4 linked regions of the Oryzias latipes genome follow. The protein of the gene in region 3 purifies or fractionates together with the protein of the main gene of each other region. This does not show direct contact. Links are inferred from orthologs where the notes say so. Each region holds a gene or a part of one and is shown on either strand. Other genes may lie near its edges.

What was found.
Region 1: the proteins of pfdn4 (region 3) and pfdn2 purify together in Homo sapiens (affinity purification with mass spectrometry; 6 studies listed by BioGRID and IntAct, counting the BioPlex papers as one, with this or other methods). This does not show direct contact. The link is inferred for Oryzias latipes from reciprocal best matches to the Homo sapiens genes PFDN4 and PFDN2.
Region 2: the proteins of pfdn4 (region 3) and pfdn1 purify together in Homo sapiens (affinity purification with mass spectrometry; 5 studies listed by BioGRID and IntAct, counting the BioPlex papers as one, with this or other methods). This does not show direct contact. The link is inferred for Oryzias latipes from reciprocal best matches to the Homo sapiens genes PFDN4 and PFDN1.
Region 4: the proteins of pfdn4 (region 3) and pfdn5 purify together in Homo sapiens (affinity purification with mass spectrometry; 5 studies listed by BioGRID and IntAct, counting the BioPlex papers as one, with this or other methods). This does not show direct contact. The link is inferred for Oryzias latipes from reciprocal best matches to the Homo sapiens genes PFDN4 and PFDN5.

Annotation. Positions count from the first base shown.
Region 1 is NC_019876.2:18,973,168-18,978,952, reverse strand, and holds the start of pfdn2 (prefoldin subunit 2), read right to left. Parts: upstream 3,862-5,785; 5' UTR 3,851-3,861; coding exon 3,740-3,850; intron 1,488-3,739; coding exon 1,399-1,487; intron 1,171-1,398; coding exon 1,047-1,170; intron 1-1,046. Other genes in the region: nit1 (deaminated glutathione amidase), read left to right, coding at 5,533-5,612. UniProt on the Homo sapiens protein: Binds specifically to cytosolic chaperonin (c-CPN) and transfers target proteins to it. Binds to nascent polypeptide chain and promotes folding in an environment in which there are many competing pathways for nonnative proteins.
Region 2 is NC_019872.2:23,089,089-23,094,957, reverse strand, and holds pfdn1 (prefoldin subunit 1), read right to left. Parts: upstream 3,607-5,869; 5' UTR 3,541-3,606; coding exon 3,442-3,540; intron 2,737-3,441; coding exon 2,570-2,736; intron 1,143-2,569; coding exon 1,058-1,142; intron 976-1,057; coding exon 892-975; 3' UTR 839-891; downstream 1-838. UniProt on the Homo sapiens protein: Binds specifically to cytosolic chaperonin (c-CPN) and transfers target proteins to it. Binds to nascent polypeptide chain and promotes folding in an environment in which there are many competing pathways for nonnative proteins.
Region 3 is NC_019865.2:24,672,628-24,677,866, forward strand, and holds the end of pfdn4 (prefoldin subunit 4), read right to left. Parts: intron 2,023-5,239; coding exon 1,891-2,022; 3' UTR 1,671-1,890; downstream 1-1,670. UniProt on the Homo sapiens protein: Binds specifically to cytosolic chaperonin (c-CPN) and transfers target proteins to it. Binds to nascent polypeptide chain and promotes folding in an environment in which there are many competing pathways for nonnative proteins.
Region 4 is NC_019863.2:4,451,730-4,457,613, reverse strand, and holds pfdn5 (prefoldin subunit 5), read right to left. Parts: upstream 3,928-5,884; 5' UTR 3,883-3,927; coding exon 3,793-3,882; intron 2,737-3,792; coding exon 2,634-2,736; intron 1,507-2,633; coding exon 1,475-1,506; intron 1,290-1,474; coding exon 1,215-1,289; intron 1,138-1,214; coding exon 1,032-1,137; intron 764-1,031; coding exon 681-763; 3' UTR 60-680; downstream 1-59. UniProt on the Homo sapiens protein: Binds specifically to cytosolic chaperonin (c-CPN) and transfers target proteins to it. Binds to nascent polypeptide chain and promotes folding in an environment in which there are many competing pathways for nonnative proteins.

The sequences.
Region 1 (5,785 bases), on a different chromosome or scaffold from region 3:
GAGGCCAGACAAAGAGAGTGAAAGAGAGATCTTGATGCGCACTCGCTTCATTACGCGGAGAAATACTGCAGCCGCTGCAGTGCGTGTTTGCCTTTTCAGTTCCCCTGTCTGAAGTTTATCCTTGACTTCTTGCTGCTCCATATCGGGGATACCTAAACAAAATAGATGCGGGCTTGCGGAGGGAAGATTACATTCACGACACGTGCGCAGAGCTGCGGGTGGCTGGCGCCCCCCTCGTTCTGCCAGTTGCTGGACCACAGTGTATGTCAATCAACGGTGGGCTGGTGACTGGTGGGAAGGGGCGGGGTCTGTCTGTGTGTGTGTGTGTGTGTGCATTCGGTGAACGTTCTCCCTCTGAGTAAGAAGCTGGCTGTGCCTGTGCCGACCCAAATTTCGGGCAAATCAAAAAAAAATTACCGGTAGGTTAGAATTGCAGTTTAGTTTCTTTATTCAAGTTTTTATAAATCAGGAGCAGACAAAGAAATTCAATTTGAAAAAGAGCATATTTGTGACGTAGAAAATACACTGGGTGAGCCACAAACACTCTGCTCTGCTCCATTCTTATACATCAACTTGTAGACAAATAGATCCATGTACATCTTTGTTTTCCTCATCTGAGCGGTCACCTGGCTCAAAACTGGGTAGCTGAATGGCTCCAATATTGCTCACCATTTGTGGTGTCATGTTAGGTTGAGGTTGTGAGGGGCTGTAAGCTAGCGGGAGAGAATGTTAACAGATAGCTCTGTTATGGGTGACTGGATGGGGGGGGGGGGGGGGGGGGGGGGGTGTTTGCTCTGCCCTATTGGTCCTCCCCACAATTTAGAGGTGAATTTCTAACAAACTCCAGCCGCGCTACAAAAAACAATTTCCTAGAAAAAGACACGTTTCTCGATTTGGGCTAAAACGGCATAGTCATATTTATAAGGCCACTGGGAACGTTTTTAAAATAAATCAAATGATGATCAGAGTAAGACTTTAATGTCCATTAGCCTGAAAAACAGCTTCCTGTGATAAATGTTAAAGAGCTTTTATTTGTTTATTTTCACCTGTTCTTTGTTGTTTTCCAAAGCAGGTAGAACTTCTTTCACCGTCCTCTCTACCAAAACCCCTCCAACCAGGCGATAGCATTTCCTAGAAGGGTCCACTTCCTTAAGAGTTTCAATAACTAAACTGAACACAAAAAGAAAAAAACATTAAAATTATTACTCTTTTACCACTTACCAGTTATGTGACGAGGTGAGTTACAAGATGTTTTTCTTTTTTAAGTTTAATGTATATAAAGTAAAAAGGTCAATTTAACTACAGACCAACATGATCCAATTAGCTGTCCTGCTAACAATCAAACATAAAAAGTGAGTATTATAAAAGCTCTCAGAGGAGAAGTCATCAGCTGCTAACCTGTGCTCATTGATGTCCATCTCCAGCTCTGCAGCTTTAGACGCCATGCTGCGTTGTTCCTGACGCATCCTCTGAAAGGTGGCAACCACCTGAAAACATCACCGCAAAGCTGGCATCAATGCAGACCAATGACATTTGACGCATCCGTCTGATCCCAACACAAGCATGTAAGCTGTTTCAGACTGAGGGGCTTTCAGGCTGAATAAACTTACCAAACCTTAAAAGGAAATTGTGACTTTAGAGAGTTTTTTTTTTTACCCAGTCCCTTTTGATCCAGTCCGCTTAATTTGTTCCGGACCGAGTTCCGAACCTTGCGTTAGGCCTTTATCAGACTGGCGTTAAGCGCCCCATTCTGTTAGCGACCAAAGCTTATAAACAAAACAATGTGACTAAAGATCTCTTCAGTCATTGGCCAGGAACTACGAGGGCAGATCAAAACAAGAGAAATGTGGACGTGTGCCGCTTAACAGTTAAATTATTAAAATTTTATATTTTTTTCGATTATCAGTTTTGAACGTCGGGAACAAGCCTTTTTATTTGTTACTTTGGTACGGCAAAGGCATGCTGCGAAGCGGTCAGTGGCAAGGAGACGTGCTGTGTGTGCTTTAACTCAGAGCATGCTAGTAACTGCATTGATGACGAGACGTCGGGTATGAGTAGGCTGCCACGCTCTCTCCTCTCTGAGGGGCAACCGCATGGTTGCGATAAAGAGCCCTGGAGTTTGGCCTGAATAGAGCCGTCACCACAAATATTAATCAAATCGGTGACTTCGCTTCCCTTCCACTGACTGGTCTCAGCAGCATCGTCCGCCATTGGTTGATGTTTATGTTCTTGTTCCCGCCTACTTCAACGAAAAATGATGATGTTTGCAGCGTATCAATGACGTACGGGTCGGATTCATGTGGCCTGGACGTTCAGACGGAGGTCGCATTTGAAATGATCGGATACATATCGGATTCAGGACCACATACGCAAGTGGCCTGGGTCGCATTTGAAAAGATCGGATCTGTGTCGTTCAGACTGTCATGAAAAGATCAGATACAGGTCGCATAGGGGCAAAAAACAATCAGAATTGTGTCATTTCAGCCTGCAGTGAGATACAATGTGTTTCCCATTAAAAATGATTTTAATTAGCCTGCATTCATCTGACCACATTTCAATGAGTTGCTGTGTCTCATCATTGTGGTTTTAGGGCATTGTTTTTAGAGAATTCTGTTAAGGAAACTATAATATAGCTTTTAGTCATGCCACAGGCGAATGCCGCGTAACAAGATACAGAAAAGCATGCAAGTAGCCTTTTCAGCAATGTTAAAATAAACGTTCTAACAAATAAACACTTGAACTCTTTTTTTCTGTTTGATAACACGATAATAATTGCTTATTTGTCCGCGGCTCATCTGTAGCCACATTCCTACTCTGTTTATGTCAGCTATGGTGGCCATTTAGGTTCAGTGGTATTCAGATTGAGGAATCTTAGAGCGAACCCGAGCTCAATCTGATTGGAAATTAACCAAGACCACCTGCAAAGATGGGTCAAGGTCCCAGACCTTAAAGTGAACTCTGGTTCAATTTAAGCAGACCAAATGCATAACCTTCTCCATGTTAATGATTTCAAATTGTTTTACTTTTTTTATATATAATGTATGTACCATTTTTTTTAGCTTTACTTTCTTTTTTCAATCAAGAGCAATTTATAACTTAGAATATGACTTCCTAATATGACTTAATTCACAGTATTCTTTGAACCTGTATGAAAATATTTAATTTTGACCCCAAAATTTTTTGAAGTTCATATGTATTTTTAATGTTATTTTTCAACAAACATCGAATAAAGATTAATACATTTCAACATTTGCCATTTTTATGCTAATTTGTTCCTATAGTGTGTCTACATGTTATTGTCTATCACTAAGACGTCGCTTTATACTAATAATTTGGCAACGTGTTGAAACAGTTTTTTTCTTATATGAAAGGCTTCCGTAGCCCTTGAGCTGTGCATAGTTGTTGACTGTCTGAGTAGTAAAAATAGCATCATCATGCTCTGTCAGACCCATTCTGAGGGCCACACCACCCACATACAGAATGGTGTACCTTTAGTTTATCTTTGACGTTATCCCATTCCATGATGTGCAAATAGCACAAATTGGACCTAATTTCATGCTCACAATTTCTTTCCCCTCGCATGGGTCTGACTGCAAGACACTTCTGTGGCCACGGGGAAGCTAACGTTAGCGCTGACTGGCTGTACGTCGGTTTAGTTACTTTCTGCTGAATATATACGAATAATATGTCACAATCTCAGGAGTACCGAGACAAAAGACTCCGCTACTCAATAGGATACCTGTTCGGCTGACTGCGCGGGCTGTTTTCCAGCCGCGCTGCTGCTCGATTTGCTGAACGTGCTGCTGTTGGCTGCCATCTTGATAGAGTGCACTTGAAGGACCCGACCCATGTGAAAGTTTTTTTTCACAGGCAGAGGCAGTCTCATGACTGCCTGTGTAAAAATACATCTCTAAATTCCTTTACCACTCACTACACAGTGCACTATACAGTGCGTTCGCAATTTTGTAATGCTGTCCGAATCTACAATTTCAAAATCCAGTTCCTAAGAAATTTCTCGGAAGTCTCTGCAAATTAACCAGTGTGCATCGACGCTCATTAAATTGGCCAACATAGATCAATGACAATGCATTGCGTTTTGAACATTTTTTGCGAAAACAATGTGTTGAAATGCTTTTTTTTAAACAATCAATATTTTTTTTATTTCAAGTACGCAATGAATTAATAAATAGTTGTTGTAAATTGCTTGTATTTACGACGGAGTATGTATTGATCAGATTTTCACTTCGTGAAATCGGTAACGTTATATTTCCCGTTTTAAAAAAAGAAAAAAAATAGTGAGGATGGTGTCCTAATTGCTTTTAAAACCCACGACACTATATCGTTTTTAGTAGTTGGTGATTAGGTTGGAAATTCGGACACAGCACTAAGATCAAATTGATCCTTTTTTTTAAAATGGGAAACAAGTTAAATTTCTATCTGCCCCCCACAACTGTAAGTAAGTAAGTAAGTAAGTAAGTAAGTAAGTAAGTAAGTAAGTAAGTAAGTAAGTAAGTAAGTAAGTAAGTAAGTAAGTAAATAAGTAAATAAGTAAATAAGTAAATAAGTAAATAAGTAAATAAGTAAGTAAGTAAGTAAGTAAGTGGGTAAGTTAGTAAGTAAGTAAGTAAGTAAGTAAAGGCTTATTTGATCAGCTAACAATTGATTTCTACCACGGGGTTTCACTAGATTGTGCATTGGCCAATTAGAAACTAAAATGCATTATTATTATTATTATTTTGCACATGTTTTACCATAAAATCCAAGTAGAGTACACAAGTGTAACATGTAAACATTTTCCCTCGAACAAATCAAAGGATAAAACAGTTTAACTTCTTTTAACAGAATAATCAGCCTGACATGCTACAATGACATAAAATTTAAAGAAAGAAAGGCATTTCTAATTTTAAAAAGTTTCTGCTAATTAGAAATGATCATTTCAAAAGCTTTGGGTAGTCTAACTGTTTTATTTATTTATTTTTTCATTTTCAGCTAAAATGTTCAACTTTTTCCTGTAGAGACCAAATGTATATCACTTCGCTGCATAACAATTTGACCCTATGTGATTGTTGCCACAGTGTGATAGCAAACAGCTTCTGGTATAATATTAACCAACCTTTTCTGTATGTATTTTTAAAAAAAGTCTTTCATTTAAAAATAAAATGAAATACCAAAAACTTTTTTTAAATATCTCTATATATTGTTGTATTTCAAACACTTGTGATTTTTCTCTTTACTTCTTACAATACTTCATATCGTAAATAGATTATTTTTTAATGAATCGTGTCATTTATTTATTCTAAATCGATTCTTCCTTCGTGTAAGGAAGCAGTGCACAGATATGTCCAGTAGGTGGAAGCAGTGTGCCAAACACTTGTTTCTAGCTACACGTTAACTGCAGAGAAGAAGAGTGTTTTGTCAACCTTCTGCCGCTGAGAATGAGAGCAAATGTTAATGTTACACTAACACGAGCTAAACATAGATAACCAATAACTAAAATGGGTTAAACAGGGAAGTTGACGGTTCCCGGGATCAATGTTCAGTTGGGTTTTGGGATCGTGTGCCAAGCATTTGGCGTCTTTAGCAAGACTGAGACACAAAACCACGCAGCTAAAGTAGGTATGCTTGTTACTGGGACAATGAAACGTGTTATGCTATATCTGTGTTTGCTTTGTTTCACAGTTTATAAATACATATAATAAAAGTAGAAATGACTTCTTTTTTTATAAATATTATTCTGTGTTTATGTTGACATGACCTATTCACAGCAACTGTTGTTTGCAAATAC
Region 2 (5,869 bases), on a different chromosome or scaffold from region 3:
CTCCTCCTGCACACCAGGTGTTTGGAAATCAAATGATGGCAATAAAAGATCCACCATAGGAGCCTTTCGGGGGGGGGGGCTTTCTGGTCTTTCGGTTTTCCTGATGTGTTCGGGTCGTTGCTGCAGTCCTGCTCTAAGTCATCATTTTTCTCGTTCCCTCTCCTGCATGCACTCTTCAGTTCGGTTAATAATCCATCTGCGAACATACACTCACAAACCCAGACACACCTTCACACTTCATGTTATTGTGTTGTTTATTATCCTTTGTTTTTACTAAACGCGTTGTGCAATTCTAAAATCATCTTCATCTGTCTTGTTATGATGTAGAACAGGAAGTCCAACTCCAGGCCTGCCGTTTCCCCAGAAATCCTGCCGTATCGGCTGCTGATTACCTGGATCAATTAGCCAATGAGAATCAGGTTGGTTTGAAAACATGTAGGACATAAACCCTTAAGGCCAGGAACTGGCCATCCCTGCCAAACAGTTACAAATTGTGGGCGTGTCTAACGGCCTGTTTAGCTGGTTGATTTAATGATTTCCACATCTTTTTGATTTTGTGTGCCGGGAGCGGGCACTTACTGGACTGTCAGTCTGAAGAGAGTTTTGGTGGTGTTCCCCGGTAGGTGTAGCAGCATTTCCCTGTGTGTTCTGACATCTTTCTACAGAACTGTACTGTGTCTGTGACAAAAACCACAGAACATCCAGTCTGAAGGCCCGTGGAGGTTCCTTCTGCTGTTGTGTCCCAGTCACTGACCCCCACTGCAGTTTGGTTGACCCTCATCTCTCCTTCAAACCTACATGGTCCTCACAGACCTTTAGGAGACACTTCACACCAACACAGAGGGGTGGGAGGGGCTTTATTGGGATCACGTGGCACAGAAAAAAAACGGATTACGGAGCTCTTCTGGACAGCAGCATCTCTCTGATGTTGTCTTCAGCCTCCTTCACGCTGCGCTCCAAGTACACCTTCTTCTGCTGCAAGAGACCACAAACGGGCAGCAACAGTCAGAAACCCGCAAACATGCACTGCGAGCTGTGATGGAGCAGGCACTCGCACCTCAAGCTCCTTGATCTTCTCGTCCACGGTTTTCTGTTTGTCTGTCAGCAGGTTGTTGATCTTCTCCCTGGACTGAAGAATGAACCTGAAACAACAGTTTTCTGTCATCTATAGGATCGGCAGGGCAGATGAACCTAAAGGCAGCATTCAGACATTAACGTTTCTTTATACCATGGTCCGGGTGAATACTCGATTCTGATTGGCTGCTGGGTGTGCATTAAAGTGATAATCCACGGTGATAATGTACGCCTAAAAAAGAAGTTCCGGGCACATAGCTTAACTGTTCTGTATCACTGCACTGGCTTCTTTAAAACAAACTTCAGCCTCATCATCTGGACTAAAAGAGGTAAACTTTCTCTCTGAACTGATGCTTTATTTAACCCGTGGTGACGATCAGCATATATATTGCTTTCCTTTGCCGCAGCAGTCGAGGTCAGTGGGGCTAAGCAGCGCGTTATGTTACCGTGACACGTAACAAATAGTCGACTTTTTGTGAAGAGAAAAAAAAGAGATTGGAACCATAAAAATGTTAGAATGAAAGGCCTAAAAACTGGTTATATATTTATTTCTTTTGTAAGTAATCATGGTAGCAGCGGATTAACGGCTGTCAAAGTGGGCACAATCAGAAATTAATGCACTTTATGGAAGCAACTGCGGAGGACGGTTGCTTCCACAAAGTGCATTCATTCATTCATTTTCTTCCGTTTGTTCCCTTTCGGAGTCACGGGGCTGCCGGAGCCTATCCCGGCCACTTATGGGTGAAGGCAGAGGACACCCTGGACAGGTCGCCAGTCTGCCGCAGGGTCACAGTCACACACCCATTCACACTCACATTCACACCTATGGACAATTTAGAGTTGCCAATTAACCTATGGAGCATCTTTTTGGACGGTGGGAGGAAGCTGGAGACCCCGGAGAAAACCCATGCATGCACGAGGAGAACATGCAAACTCAATGCAGAAAGGTCCCCCATTGATGTTCTGTTTCAGGTCCCCCAGCCGGGACTTGAACCAGTGGCCTTCTTGCTCCGAGGCAAGAGTGCTATCAGCATTAACGCATAAAGTGCATTAATGCTGATAAAGCACACTTTGTTGGCCATTAACCCTTATGTAGCTCAGTGTTTGTGCAGATCAGTTGCTAAACGCACATCCTCTTCAAACTTGTGTATAAAAGTGTTGACTGGATGTGAAGTTCATAAAGTCAATCAGGTCAGACAGAATTCCTCTGTCTGGAACTCTCATGGAGCCTCAGTAGCATCAATGAGGCCAATCAAAACCTCTCCAAAAAGAAATTTATGTGAATCTGGTGGAGATCTCCTTAAAATAAATGTAAAGTTTTCAAAATAAGAGGCACATGGTTTCACAACTGCAGTAGAACCGTGTGACACTGAGATTTCCAAAGCAGAACCAGACATTTGATGGAAAAACCAGACTGGTTTCATGTTTTTCAGATGTGTCTAACTCATCTGTGTTCTTTGGTGAGTTGGCATTGATTACAGGAGAGCACACTTACATTCGGCCGACGCCCTCGTACAGGCGCGTGTTTTCCGGCAGCGAGGAGATCTCTGTGCTTGTGAGCTTGGCATGTTTCTGAACTCGAGTCAGCTGATCAATCTGGAGGTCGGCCAGCTTCACCTTCTGCTGTGTGTCAATCATCTTCAGCTGTAGCTCGGCGAATGCCTGCAGAGACAGGAAGTATCGCTCTGTTCAAAGTCGAAAAGGAAACCAGGAGAGAATCAGAGTTTCACTATTTCTCCCATCTCTTCCTTTTCTCTGGCTTGATTCAGGAAGTCAAACAGAAAAATGAAACACTGCCTCTCCTGTAAATCAGTTAACAAGCAAAGCGATCTGCTACATGAAGGTAGTCTATGAAGATATAAACCTGGACCATTTAAATGTTTGCATAAAGGAGGTAAAAAAAAAAAACGACATCTGACCTAAAATAATCCACGACACTGAAAGATGGAAAACTGGACTTTAACATTTACAAGCATGTTTGTCATAATCTGGTTTCCTCAAACCCCATCATCTTTTGTCTCAGTGTTAATACCGCAAAGGATTGTGGGATTGGAATATGGTCCACCCGATCAGAAAGGATGCTCGGCCGTTTCAAAGAGATGGGGGGGGGGGGGCAACCTCAAAACTCATTTTGCTCTAAGGGGTTCAAAGATTCGGTGCAGGTACACAATGGTCCGGTTCACATGTTTGTTACTAGTGAAGTGACCGGTCAGCCGAATTTCGTGAACCTTCCGCGTGCACCACTGAATGCGGTATGGGTCACACTAATAACTACCAGCGGTAGCTGCCTGTAACCCAATATCGGAGAGTATGCGCAACCACGTGCGTCAGACATATGATGTGTTCGGCGTCCTGTAAACTACACACCTTTTTTAGTTCCAGGTCCACGGGCGCCGCCATCTTTAGAGTAGATTTCGAGTGCGCATGCGCAAGATTGTCTTCTTCGGGCTTATTTTGTGGCAGCATCAAGTTTGCCCACAGCCCCTCCCAGTAACGATGATCTATTTAAACTCCCCGTGACCTTTTTTTTAAAAAAAATAAAAACGTTCCCAGTGGTGTTTTAGTTACAATTACGACGTTTTTTTTAACTAAAATTCCACAAGCCAAATGTCTTTAAAATGTCATGTTTATCTGAAGCGTGTTTCCAAGAACTCCTCTACATGGGCGTGGCTATTGGTGCTGATTAGCTCCGCCCTCGATTCCCCCTATCTGCAAGCTGCGTCTTGCCTGAGTGAAGACCGATAGACAGTCCCAGAAATTGTAAAAATTGTTGAATACACTTGCATAGCACTATTCACACGTCATTTTCCAAATACTTGTGGCCAGTGCAAAACTTAATTCTTGAACACCCGGACCCAGAGGAAAGGTTAAGTTTAGTGTTATGGTTACATTTAAGGTGCGTTCACACTGAACGAGATTCGTGGCAGAGGTGGCCAGTTAAGGCCCGTACACACCGGGACGAATTTCGCGCGCGATATTCGCCGATGTTTAACGCCTCATGACTAAACAAAGGGCACCAATGTGAGTGTGCACACCGACGTGAAAAAACGCCACGCTTCAAAGCGTCACTTTATAAAAAATGCCTCGGGTTCGTTTTTTTGGTTTGGCGCCACGCGGCAAAAACTATACGACTAATGAGAATGGGGCTTTTGGACACGTGTCTGGAGCTTCTGAAGTTACAGTAAAACACAACTTGGGGGCGCTCAAACACAAAACTGCCTTTCTGAGCACACATACCAGCGAAGAAGATAAGACGCCAAGTGGAATCTACACTGCCGCAAAGAAATAATGACGGACATTCTAAAATATCCCCGAAAACGCTCATGATACATTTTTAGCTCTCGTACCAGTCGATAAAACTCCCCATGTTCTTCTCTTCTCGTAACTATGGGATGTACCCAAAATCTGCGTCTTTTCCAGCGTCTTTCATCGTTTGCTGTGGTGTCATCGGTATAAAGGTATTGTACTGCAAATAATGATCCTGTGTTAATAAAACTTTGACTTGCTTTACGGCAGTTATCAGTCTTTACTCGGTGCAACACATCATTCAACAGAACAATAATTTCTTCATTGCTGGAACTGGAGCTACTGGTGCTGGAAATATTCATGTTTTCTTTGTTTGATTCTGACAAGCGCGTAAATACTTGCTCTCTTCTTCTGAGTGAAAAGCGACTTTAAGAAGCGTAAAGTTGCGCAGCGCCACCTTGTGTACAGGGGTATTTCTGTTTTACATTAAGCGCCATCTAAAGTCAGGGAATGAAATTGCATGTTCGCTTGGCTCATCGTCAGCGAAAATCGCCTGGGTGTGAACAAAAAAAACGTGGCGAAAAACGCTGGCGAATAATGCCTGGTGAATATTCGTCCCGGTGTGTACGGGCCTTTACAATGGCAATGGTTGAGTCAATGGCAGAGACACGATCTGGGGTCCTGCGGCGCGATTTGAGCGCAAAGGTCTGGCAGTAGCAATGTGCCAATTTTATTTTTTAGCAATGGGCTTTTTACTCTGATGGCAAACTGTAAAAACACATCAAGAGCTCACAATCATATACATGGAGTTCCAAAACACAGATTGTTCAAATTTGCGCATGCGTCTTGAAGTTTTTTTATTTAACAGGAATAAAATAGAACTTTTTAGAATGTTATTGTCCCCACAACGGGGAAATTAAGCAATTAACTGGCTGCAGTAACGAAAAAGATCAAATTAAACAAACAAACAATCAGTAGGATACATATACCAAACTTTTCTTTGTTTTTTTTAATATATTTTTTTTATTTCTTTTTAACGATTGCTATGTTTGCCCACCAGTTAGCCTACTATAGCTCTGGGTTAGCTTTGTTGAGTTTGTTATTTTTCCATCCATTTTCTCAAACCTTTCGGGGTCGAGGGTGCTGCCAGAGCCCGTCCCGTCTACTGATGGGCGAAAGCGGGGTACAGAGTGCGGGAATAAACTAGCTGACAAAGTGGGGAACTCCCGCCCCACTTCACTGTTGCTAGAACAAAAAATGCGGCAGGACATCGCTGTTATAATCTGCTTTTTTTTTGTTTTGTTTTTATGTTGTTTTTTTTTTGTCTGTGACCCCGTGACGCACTAATAACAGTTTGTTAACAGGACAACTGTCTATTCAAGACAAGCAAGAGTGGTATTCAAAACATAGACAAATCGTATTCAAAACAGGCATGTCAAACAAAAAACGAAATGCTGTATTCATATTTTTTTATTTTAAGTTGTGCACAAAGTATTAATTGTGCACAGTTTTGTATTTATGCATATGTTTCTCATTGACAGACCCCATA
Region 3 (5,239 bases):
CCCTACTTAATATGGTTCTGTCTTTTTTGTGTGTAAATAAGACATTTGTTCATATTCCGCTCTTGAATATTGGATTTTTTTTGGGGGGGTCACATTTGAAAAAAATTAAGCATTAAAAAATTAGTGTGGAGAAAATCAGAGACAAACTACAAAGACAAAAAAACAGAACAGAAAAAAGACAGAGAGGAGACAGATATGGAGACTAAATAAGGCCGGGGGGGGGGGGGGGGGGATTAGAGCTGTCACTTCTTGCAAGTTCAGCTGAGTCGTAACCCTTGTACTATCCTAGGCACTTTAACATTGGGAGTTGGGTCATCTAGACCCACTAGACAGTGCGCTGAACCTTTTTTCTTCAATGATTTTTTTCCTTCACTGGTGTCCATGGCTTACATGAAATCTTTCCACCTTTATCCACCTTTGTCATGGTAGGAATAACACGTCAATGTAAGGGTGGGGTCACCTAAGATAGCACAAGGGTTTTAAGTTCAGCCGGCTGTTCACAGACAAGCCTCTGTAGATGGAGCCACTCCTCTTCACAGCTGTGACTGCTAAGCAGGAAAACCTACCGGGGACACAAACTTGTTCATTGGGATCCCCAACCTCTGGTGATGTTCCTAAATCTTTTTCTAACTCATGCAAGCCGCAAAGTGAAAATTAATTTTAGTGGGACGTGTTCATACGGGAAAATCTAATTTAATGTGTGGAGACTTAACAGTTAACATTTTCTGGAAAGCTGCTGTTAAATTGCCTCAAACAGGCGAGTCTGCACATAATCCCTGGATTAAAAAGAAGCTGTGCAGGTGAAGGAGGTCAACACATTTACAAACATAAACATCTCATGCTGCCTTCTAAACAAGTTCATGAACCGATGACAGATGTAAACCGCCCCTTTAAATGTATTCATACTGGACACATTAGTGAACCAGAGTTCGTTTCCGATAATCCAGAACAAATTTTCAGTCTGAATACCTCCAAGGGGACCCTGATCCAGAACCAGGAACCGCTCTCTGACCCATCTTTGGAGGAGGTGATCAACCAGACTGAGCTTTTGTTCACTCTGAGATTCCTCCGCCTGAATACAATCCGTCCTTGGAGCGGGACAACTGAACCAAAACGGCCACCATAGTGGTGCATTATGGGATATAAACAGAGTAGGAAGGAGGTAACCGTGACAATAAAACACAGGAACTCATTGAAATGTGGTCGGCTGAATGCAGACCTAATAAAACAAGTTTTAACGTGAAACACATTACTTTGCACTGTTTTCCCCGAATTCTATACATCAAAAACAACTATTTAATAAAGAATTTTTAGGACACACTGCTAACAGAATTACACTAATCCAGCTTAGACGTAACAAATGTGTGGATGTTTGTCACGCTTGAGCTTTGTCTAACTTGTATGGTGATAAATCTAAAATTAAAAAAAAAAAAAATCACTAAAACTGTTGTTTTCTAACTTTATTAGCAGCATCCTCTTGACATTAGACAGCAGCTTGCTGAATATTATGCATTTTTATGGTCTGCGTAATTTTCACAAATAAAGCTTCCTTCAGAAACGAATTATAAAAAAATGAACGTTGTGTTGTTTTTCTGATGCCTGGTACCGGTCCACGGTTGAAATGACAGATTGTGAGGTGACGCTCTGTTCTGTGAGAGTGAAAGTTAAACTAGAGACACTTCAGATGTTCTTTATTTCACTTTTAACAGAAATTGTAGTAAAAAAAATCCTTAAATATATGCAGGTTGTTTTGTCATTTCAGACGGCATGACCATGAGATCTCTGAGGGGGAGGCTAAAAACTGCGACTCTAAAGGCTTGATGTATGGCGGCGAGGCAGAAATGGGAGGAAACGTTCGTGTCGGTGCAGCCGTCAGAGTCCGTCTGGAGCTCAGCTCTCATCTGCCTCCAGGTTGATGTTGTCTCCAAACTTGGCGTAGAGCTGGACCTTCAGGTCGTTCAGGACCTGCTGTATGGATGATACTCGCTCCTCGTAGCCTCTGACCTCCTCCTCTAGCGCCTCCTGTTCACGGAGAAGAAGAAGTTGTTGATGAGCAAGAAAACTTCAGGAGAACAGCTAAGTCTACTCTGACTTTCCAAATGACAGACAAATGCAGCTGCAGGAATTTGTTTTTGCTGACTAAGGACTTTAAACATTTTTAGGAGAAAATTTTCTTGTTTTAAGTAAGCTTTTATTTTGAAAGGAAGTGTTTTGAAAAAAGAATCATTCTAAAAAGGAAGAAGCAATGTAGCAAAATGTAGATTCAAAATTTTGTTTAAAAACATCATATAGATTTTTTTTAAACTTATGTTTGAATAAAATGTCATGAAGTTTCTTTTTCTGCAATTTATTTTGGAAAATGTCGTTTCCTTTTAAGCTTCAGTAAAAACTGGGACCAACTGAAGCCACAGCCACTGCAGTAATGATGAAGCCAAACAAAAAGTACAATTATCATAATATACAAGTGTTTGATTGTTTTTTTTAAACTAATAATTTAACTTGAAATGGGGAAATGGGCATGTTGGTGGATGTCAGTCAAAAAGCTCCACCAGAAGAATCTGAACGATGGTGTTAAAGCATGACAGACCGCAGACTTGCTACACACAGAGATCTTATTTGAAAAAGATTTTTCTAGAAATGTTCCAGTTAAGGTTGAGCTATATCCAAAATAATGCCAGAATTACAGAATGGTAAAATCAATTTGGCTCCCATCAGCCACCATCACTGTGTGAATGTGAGTGTAAAGCGATTTGAGCCTTCTAGGAAGGTAGAGTAAACATAAATTAACCCATTTGAACCACTTTATTAGTAGCATTTATACATAAAGCCAGTGGGGATCTTTATTAGAGTGAGTCCTGGATCGCATAAAGTACAAATTCCTTTACTGGAAATATCACCAATAACGCAGCAAACAGCCACATTCTTATTATTTTTCCTGAATTTAAAGCAGTGGCATGAGATCTGGTGCTGGTATGGATTGTAATTTTTCTTTCAAGGATCTTTTATCCTTTCTCACTTTCCCCATCTTGGCAGTAGATGATGTCACTGAAGGCTGTCTTTTTCATAAAAAAGGGAACATGGTAGGGATGCCACTATTCTCTGCTTAGAACCAAACATTTGTTCCATTGAACCGAATGGTGGAGAAAGTGAAGCAATAGGCCGGTCATACAATCTAATCACTTTTTAGTGGAGGTCTAATGATTCGCCAGTTAATTAATTTATATTCCGATGATTCAACCAGATCGATCTGTCTGAGGCATGTTGGTAATTGAATTCACCTATACCATTATAAAATCTTTTCTAAACGAAATAAATCGATTATAATTGATGTTGGGAAATATCATTTGGATTGAGGCTCAGTAGGTTTATTTTACGATAACGTAAAAACGAGCAAATGCATCACAGCGGAAAACACATGAGCAAAAAAATGATCCGTCCATCATTCCAGTCTAATGTGTGAAAACACAATGAATTTAGCAAAGTCATGTGACCATCCAGTGTGCTAAAATGTTCTAATAAAGTTCCTTTTGGATTCTTTGGATGTGGAAAAACAGCAGAACTTTAGGAAACTAAAATGTGAATGGGTTTGACATTCATTTTTCTTTACTTGTTTGTCTGCACACTTATTTAATTTACACTTGATGATCTGGAAGAAATACAAGGAAAGTGGAAAACTTTACCAGCACTGTTTAGTACCAGCTGTTTATCCGAGTCACACTGGAGGAATTTTTGGCTAAACCACAAATGAGGATTTGAATCAAACCGTACAAATGGATGGTTACACCACAAAAGTGCCTGAAAGCTAAAGATTTAACAGTTACTTGTCAAATAGAAGACCACGCCCCCATTTTGGGTCAAACAGATTCACTCCCATTAGACTTATTATGGGTAGTTCGTTTAATCATACATGAAAAACCAGGCTGCATGTGTTTGTTCCTGTGACCATATAGTTTTTTTTCATGTAATGAGGCTTGTTTCTCCAAATAAAGTTAAAAGTCATTTGGTTGATGGATTTGATCATTTTGTTTGGGATGGCATTAGAGTAAGATGGAATAATACATCTAGACCAGTGTTTTTCAACCTTTTCTGAGCCACGGCACACTTTAACCTTAAAAAAAATCCTGCGGCACACCAGCATCCAAAAATTAAAAAAAAAAGAGAAAGTCATAGTCTGTATTGATCTACAGCCCCTCCACAATCTCACATGCATTTTTGAGATAATTGTTACAGAAAAAGCTGGAAACTGCAGCTGTTTTTTTCTAAAAGATGCAATAAAAGTTAAGTTAGAAGATTTAAAAAAAGTTTGAAGTGTGTTCGTTGTTTTCAAGACTAACAACAGATCTCCTTGTGCGCTGTCACCTTCACAACCCAATGCATCATGGGAGATGTAGTGCATTAAACGGCCGGTGGAGATCGCTTTTCTGAGCTTCATTGTTTTGTTCACTTGTTCCACGGTCTGATACCGGATTCTGTGGAAAGTTACACCGCTAAAGACGAGCTTTAGCTGGTATTTTTGTTAGAGCTGAGCGACTTTACGAGCTAAATCGGGACAAGGAAGTGAAGACTTTAACCACTTCTGATTGGTCAAACTGATGACATGTGATTAAGCTCCCCAAGAATGATTGGTGGAGACAGTCAAAGGGGCGGGACTTTTCCAAAATACAGCCGGAGCTGCAGCTGAATCGCGGTACTGTACAGTCATTCTTATCAAATGTGTTTAATAAAATAAAATAAACGCAAAGAAAAAGTATTTTATGATCTTTTATATTCCTAACTCCTCAGTGTTTTATCAGGGCCTGTATGAATGAACAGAGAGCTGAAATCCTGGAGATGGAAAATGTTTTTAGATCAGTTAATGAGGACAATTTCCCACGGCACACTAGTTGAAAAACACTGATATAGACAAACCCTCCATCTTTGTCAGATAGATCCGACCCAACAGCGAAATATCTCTTTGGAGCCACATATTCAACCTCGTCTTACATTCATTAAGTTTTTCACCCACATTCCTTGATTGCCTTATTTTTTGGTCTTTGTTGATATAGATGCCCAAGTATTTAACTTCTGATTTAATGGGGATATGATTGATTTCTTTTAAAGGTGTGTCATGAATAGCCAACAGTTCACATTTCTTTAAATGTAAGTTTAACCCTGATGCTTTGGAAAAGTGTTTTACTTTTTCAATAGCTGCTTTAATTTGATGCTCATCTTTTAAAAACAGTGTTGTGGCGTCTGCTAG
Region 4 (5,884 bases), on a different chromosome or scaffold from region 3:
TGTTTGTGGATAAAGTCAGATGGAAGAACAAAACAGACGAGCAGAGGAACAAAACGATTCATGTCTACGACACGGACACAATGTTGCTTTATTACTTTTAATTGCAGCCCATCTTACAGTTTTCATGAGCAGATGAGGTTGGAGCCCAGCCCGTTTGGAAAAAAAATCCCCAGTGTTTTGTTTCTTCATTGAATGCAACACGCTTCCAGATACTTGTTCTGGAGAGAAAAAGGCAAAGGAGCCATCCTCTTTAGAGCCATGCCTCAGTTTTCTGACAGAACTGCTTTAGCTGATGCAGCCATCAGGTCTCTGTAGCAGAGGTTGCTTGTAAAAAGATTTAAGTAGGCAAAAAAAAAAAAAGCTTCAGATGATATATTTGCTGTACTGCTCTTGAAAACTATATCAACTTAGAAATTCTAATGACAACATTTATTAACTTGCATGTCCACTAAAAAGCCTGTTATAACAAGCAAATCAGTTAAAACTGAAATATAAGATATATTTAAACATCTTGTCAATAAAAAAAAATGTAGGGATTATCGGTACGTTCTAAAAAAACAAAGTCAAACGTTTGTTTAAGTTATAGTGAGCACTTTAATGATCCGACTGACCAAAGCAACACAACAGTATCGGTAGAGTTTTTGTGGGTGGAGTTAAAAATGCAGAAAGTGTTGCTCTCATTAAGCCTTGCTGGTCCCAACCGCCTGTGATCCTTGCTGACTCTGCAGCTGCTGCAGCTTCATGTTCATCACTTCAATCACAGCTGCAAGAGGGAAAACCAACATATTAAACCCGGATGCCAAAGGGACAAAAATATATTTAAAAAGAAAAAACTTTCTTTGCTGCAACAGATGCTTCATTAAATCTGAGGATAATGAAATAACTATAGTTTGTCCCGACTATAAAACTATCACTTCAGTCACATTAGCGCCTCATTAAATGTTATTTTTGTCTTCCATAAAGTAATAAGATGATATACAACAAAAATAAGAATAATTCCCAGCCCTATATCATGCGTGAGAATGGCCTACCTTGTTTCATGCCGTGTTTTTCCTGGAGAGTTGGCTGAATTTTCTCTATCTGCTTGGTGAGGAAGTCTATTTTGCGCTTGAAGAATTCTTTTGAATCTTTCACATTCTGGGAACAGAAACAGTAAGATTTACAGTCTACTGACTGTTTATGAAGTTCAAGTTTCAAAGTGCTTCCACTTTTACCTTTTCCACATAATATCCCGTTCCCACATCCACCAACACGTGCTCCACGTCGTTTAATGTGCCGGGGACGTACATCTGTTCAGCAGCTCTGCTTAAGGTCAATAGAAACAAGCTGTTTACAGATGCACAGCAAATGAAAACGGTTTGTTGGAGTTTATCTAATTTGTGGAACTTATTATATAAATAAACCTTTTCATGACAACTATAGACTTTGTAAATGACTACAAAAGACTAAAAATAGTTAGATGGATAAAGGATACAGAACTGGTGAGGGGGACGAGTAATTCTTTTCCTGTATGGAAGAAAGAGGGAAAGTTGTTAAATTCAACCATCTGTATATATTAGACATTCTGTAGCCTCCAAGACTGAAGGACAGTCGGAGACTTGGACCTGGGACTTGAGTGACACTTCAGCCTCACATGCACTGACTTGACATTTGACGTCAAGGGCTTAAAACACGACTTGGAGCTTAGGATTTAGGATGTGTGTACGATACGTATTTGTTTATTCTTGTTATTTCGCTCCGTAACATCACTGTCACCTTGAAGCTCATCAAGAGAATGCCAAGAGTGTGCAAAGCAGGAATCAAAGCAAAAGGTGTCGTAAAATACTTTTTTCTTTGTGTTTATTTGATTATATTAAAGACTTTTAAATAAGAATGACGGTACCGTGATTTAGCTGCAGTATTAACTGTTTTCTGAAAAGTCCCGCCCCTTTAACTGTCTCCGCCAATCATTCTTGGAGTCTTAATCATACGTCATCAGTCTGACCAATCAGAAGTGGTTAAAGTCTTCACTTCCTTGTTCCATTTCTGCTCATAAAGTCTCTCAGTTCCAACAAAAATACCAGCTAAAGCTCGTCTTTAGCGGTGTAGCTTTCCACAGAATCCGGTGTCAGACCGTGGAACAAGGGAACAAAACCATGAAGCTCCAAGACGCCAGTCTGTCTGGCGTTTGCCGGCTGTTGACACTACATCTCCCATGATGCATTGGGTTAAAGTGGCAGCGTATCAGTGTACAATGAGTCTTCCTTTGACGTCTTGAAACCACAACGAACACACACCAAACAGTTTTTAAATCTTCTAACTTAACTTTTATTACATCTTTTAGAAAACCAGCTGCAGCTTCCAGCTTTTTCTGCCACAATGATCACAACAATGCATGTGAGATTGCAGAGGGGCTGTAGATCAAAACAGACTAGGAGTTTTATTTTTATTTTTGGATGCTGGTGTGCCACAGGATTTTTGTCAAGGTTAAAGTGTGCCGTGGCTCAAAAAAGGTGTGAAAACACTGATCTATGCGCACGTGGTGTGACGGTTAAAAGAGGTGCCATCCTAAGCAAAGTTAGAAGTAAAACTATAAAACATTTTTTAAAACATTAATGATCAAACAAATTACCAGTAAGGGACATTTTACATACCTTTGTTGTTTTCGGTCAGTACATTTAAACTGTCTTTTGCTTCAACATACTTGGTCTGCACAACTTTGAACTGGCCAATTGAAGAAGTCAAGAATTCAACTTCCTGGGAAAAAAAACACAGCATGAATTTCAAAAAAGCAATTAAAAAAAATTAAAAGAAACACCCCAGAGGAGTTCCATCTATGTACTCAGATACACCACCATTCACTAGTTTTAGAAAACGAATGTTTCCAGTTTTTTATTGACGCATAAGTGTGATGTTTTGTTGCATTGTGAAACAAAACTGATAGTAAAGCTGAGAAACTGAGGTTGCAAAAGCAGATCCTGGAAATGACCAAGTTATGCCAACACTCCTGCTGCCCCGTGGCCACAGTTTGCAGAAATGTTGAGCTGGCAGTTTCTTTCGGCCACCAAGCGCGGTCTGGACGGCGCTCAGCTGGAAATGATCGCACACAGGCTTTTTGGTAACGGTTTCAGTCGTGCTTTTGTGCAATTTTTCTTTCCAGCACGATTGTGTTCAATAATTTAGGTAGTTTTTCATTAACATAGTCATATCCTGAAATGCTACAACAATTTACTTCAGTGAGTGATGTTGTTATTTGATTAATTTTGTAGATGTTTAGCACTGACATCTGCCACATAGAGGTAAACTACACTAAACTGCACACCTGTGACTACTTCACCAGGATAGATTCTGTTGCATTTCTTGAATTCATTAGAATTTATAATAATTCCCAACGCCAGAATGCCTTATCAATAAGGGTATTATATGTTCTAGGGGTGTAAGAATAAACGTAGTTGAACCGAAGCGTTTCAGTACAGCAGGTTCGGTTCAGTTCACTTCTGTACCGTTAGGTACGTTTTTTCCCCCGGATGTGTGCATTGTAAAAACTCAGCTGCTTTGTCACTCATAGCGGGTGTATTGGTTGAATGACAACAATAAGCCTGATTCAAAATTTAACAAAAAAATGTAAATAATATAATGATAAGGCCAGGCAAGTTCAAACTGTGACTCATTTCTCTTAACTCTTGAAGGTCGCTACCCATCCTGTCTATGTATCAATTAAATCCTATAAAGTCTAAGGACAAATTGTAAAATAAACTATTGTCGGTTTTTTCTCTGTCAACTCAAAAACCCTTCTTTACAACCGAGCAGCACCTGAAACTCCACGCCCCTGCGGGGAAACATCATGACCCTCCGCGGCCGCTGCGCTGCTCTCATTCCCGCCTTTAGCGTAGACGCCTTCATGAAGAAGCAGCGGTCACATATTCAGTCTAAACTCACGCATTTTACCTGGTCCAGCTGGCCTTTGAGTCCTTCTAACTGCGGCAGAGAGAGGTCTGTGAGATTCACCGCCATGTTGGAAGCGTGGTGACAAAAGACGGATTCTTCTTCCGGTTGCGAGATGTACTTCCGGTTGACATATTTTCCGGTTTATTAGAACATGAAAGCTGTTTCAAAGTAAATATGATTTAAAATGAAATGCAAAAAATAAATAAATAAAAGGAAAGAAGAAAACTTCCTTTTTAAATATGTTGACTAGCTCTAGTTTATATGACTATTTTCTAACGCAGACTCTGCATAACAGTTTCTTTGATTGAAATTGAATGGGTTTTTTTCTGCAGAATATTAAAATTACGATAAGCATGAAGGTCAGTCGTAGTAAGACAGAATACATGTGTCTGAATGAGAGGGATCAAGGTAGAAGCGTTAGGTTACAGAGGGCTGAGGTGAAGAAGGTGCAGGAGTTTAAGTACTTGGGGTCAACAGTTCAGTGTGATGGGGAGTGTGGAAAAGAGGTGAAGAGGCGAGTGCAGGCAGGTTGGAGCAGTTGGAGGAAAGTGTCAGGAGTGTTGTGTGACAGAAGAGTGCCAGCAAGACTCAAAGGAAAGGTGTACAAGACAGTGGTGAGACCAGCTCTGCTCTATGGGTTAGAGACGGTAGCAGTGAGACAGAGACAAGAGGCTGAGATGGAGGTAGCGGAGATGAAGATGTTGAGGTTCTCCTTAGGAGTGACCAGGTTAGACAGGATAAGGAACGAGTACATCAGAGGGACGGCTCATGTTGCCTGTGTTAGCGACAAAGTCAGAGAAGCCAGACTGAGATGGTTTGGACATGTTCAGAGGAGGGATAGTGGATATATTGGTAGAAGGATGTTGGAGATGGAGCTGCCTGGCCGGAGGGCAAGAGGACGGCCAAAGAGGAGATACATGGATGTCTTAACAGAGGACATGAAGTTGGCTAACGTTAGGGTAGAAGATGTTCATGATAGAGTGAGGTGGAAAAGGATGATTCGCTGTGGCGACCCCTGATGGGAAAAGCCAAAAGAGAAAGAAGATTAAAATTACGATAAGAGACCATGGAAACGTACAATAATCTGGTTTTTAATTTAGTCAATTACATCTGCAGGTTGAACAACTGCCATGCAGTCTGTGGGTCAAGTATAGGGGCCCATACTTGTTCTAGTTTGCATATCAGTTACACGAAGCATTTGGCTGCATGTCATACTGTGTGTTTGTGACAAATATTTGAACTTTCTATTTTTGCTTAATATTTATTCAATATTGAAACATGCAGATTAATGACCTAGTATTTTCTAGACAAAATTGACACTACTTTCTTTATGCCATCACCCGCTTTGAAGTTTGGATTTAGGAATTAAATCTTAAGGTAGGCTACCTGAGGTTTGAAGCGTAGTTTATACTCTTATTCATAGACAAAAACGGCAAATTCTACCAAAACTCAAAAGAACCAAATTAAGACTTTTCCCCTCTTTTTCAGGACGTCCTGCTTCCTTTTTCATAGGCAGATTAAAAATTAGATTTGTCAATATTCAAGTAACACAAAGTAGAGAAAAAATCTACAAATGTAGACAACATTGATGCAGAGCCATTTCAGAATGTTTACAGCAAGTCTTCCTTAAACTTTGTTTTTTCAAGCTCTTACACTAAAGTTTTTATTTGTCGTCACCTCAGATGTGCATATGAAGGCAAATTGGGTAGCATGATGGTCCTTTGCGTCACTCAGGTGTTAAACAATAACAACCAGTTTTCAAACAACTTTTAAAGCCGGAACTCGAAATGTAGTTCGAAAATTAAACTAATCTCTCCCTAAATCTGATCAACAAGGTCAAGTAGACCCAATCTTCCCTGCTCCAGATCAGCTAGTCTTATGCTGTATTAATCCCAAAGTGAATTATAAAGAAAGTTTCAGAGAATCAAGTTTGCTCCCACAGTGTTAATACTAGTTT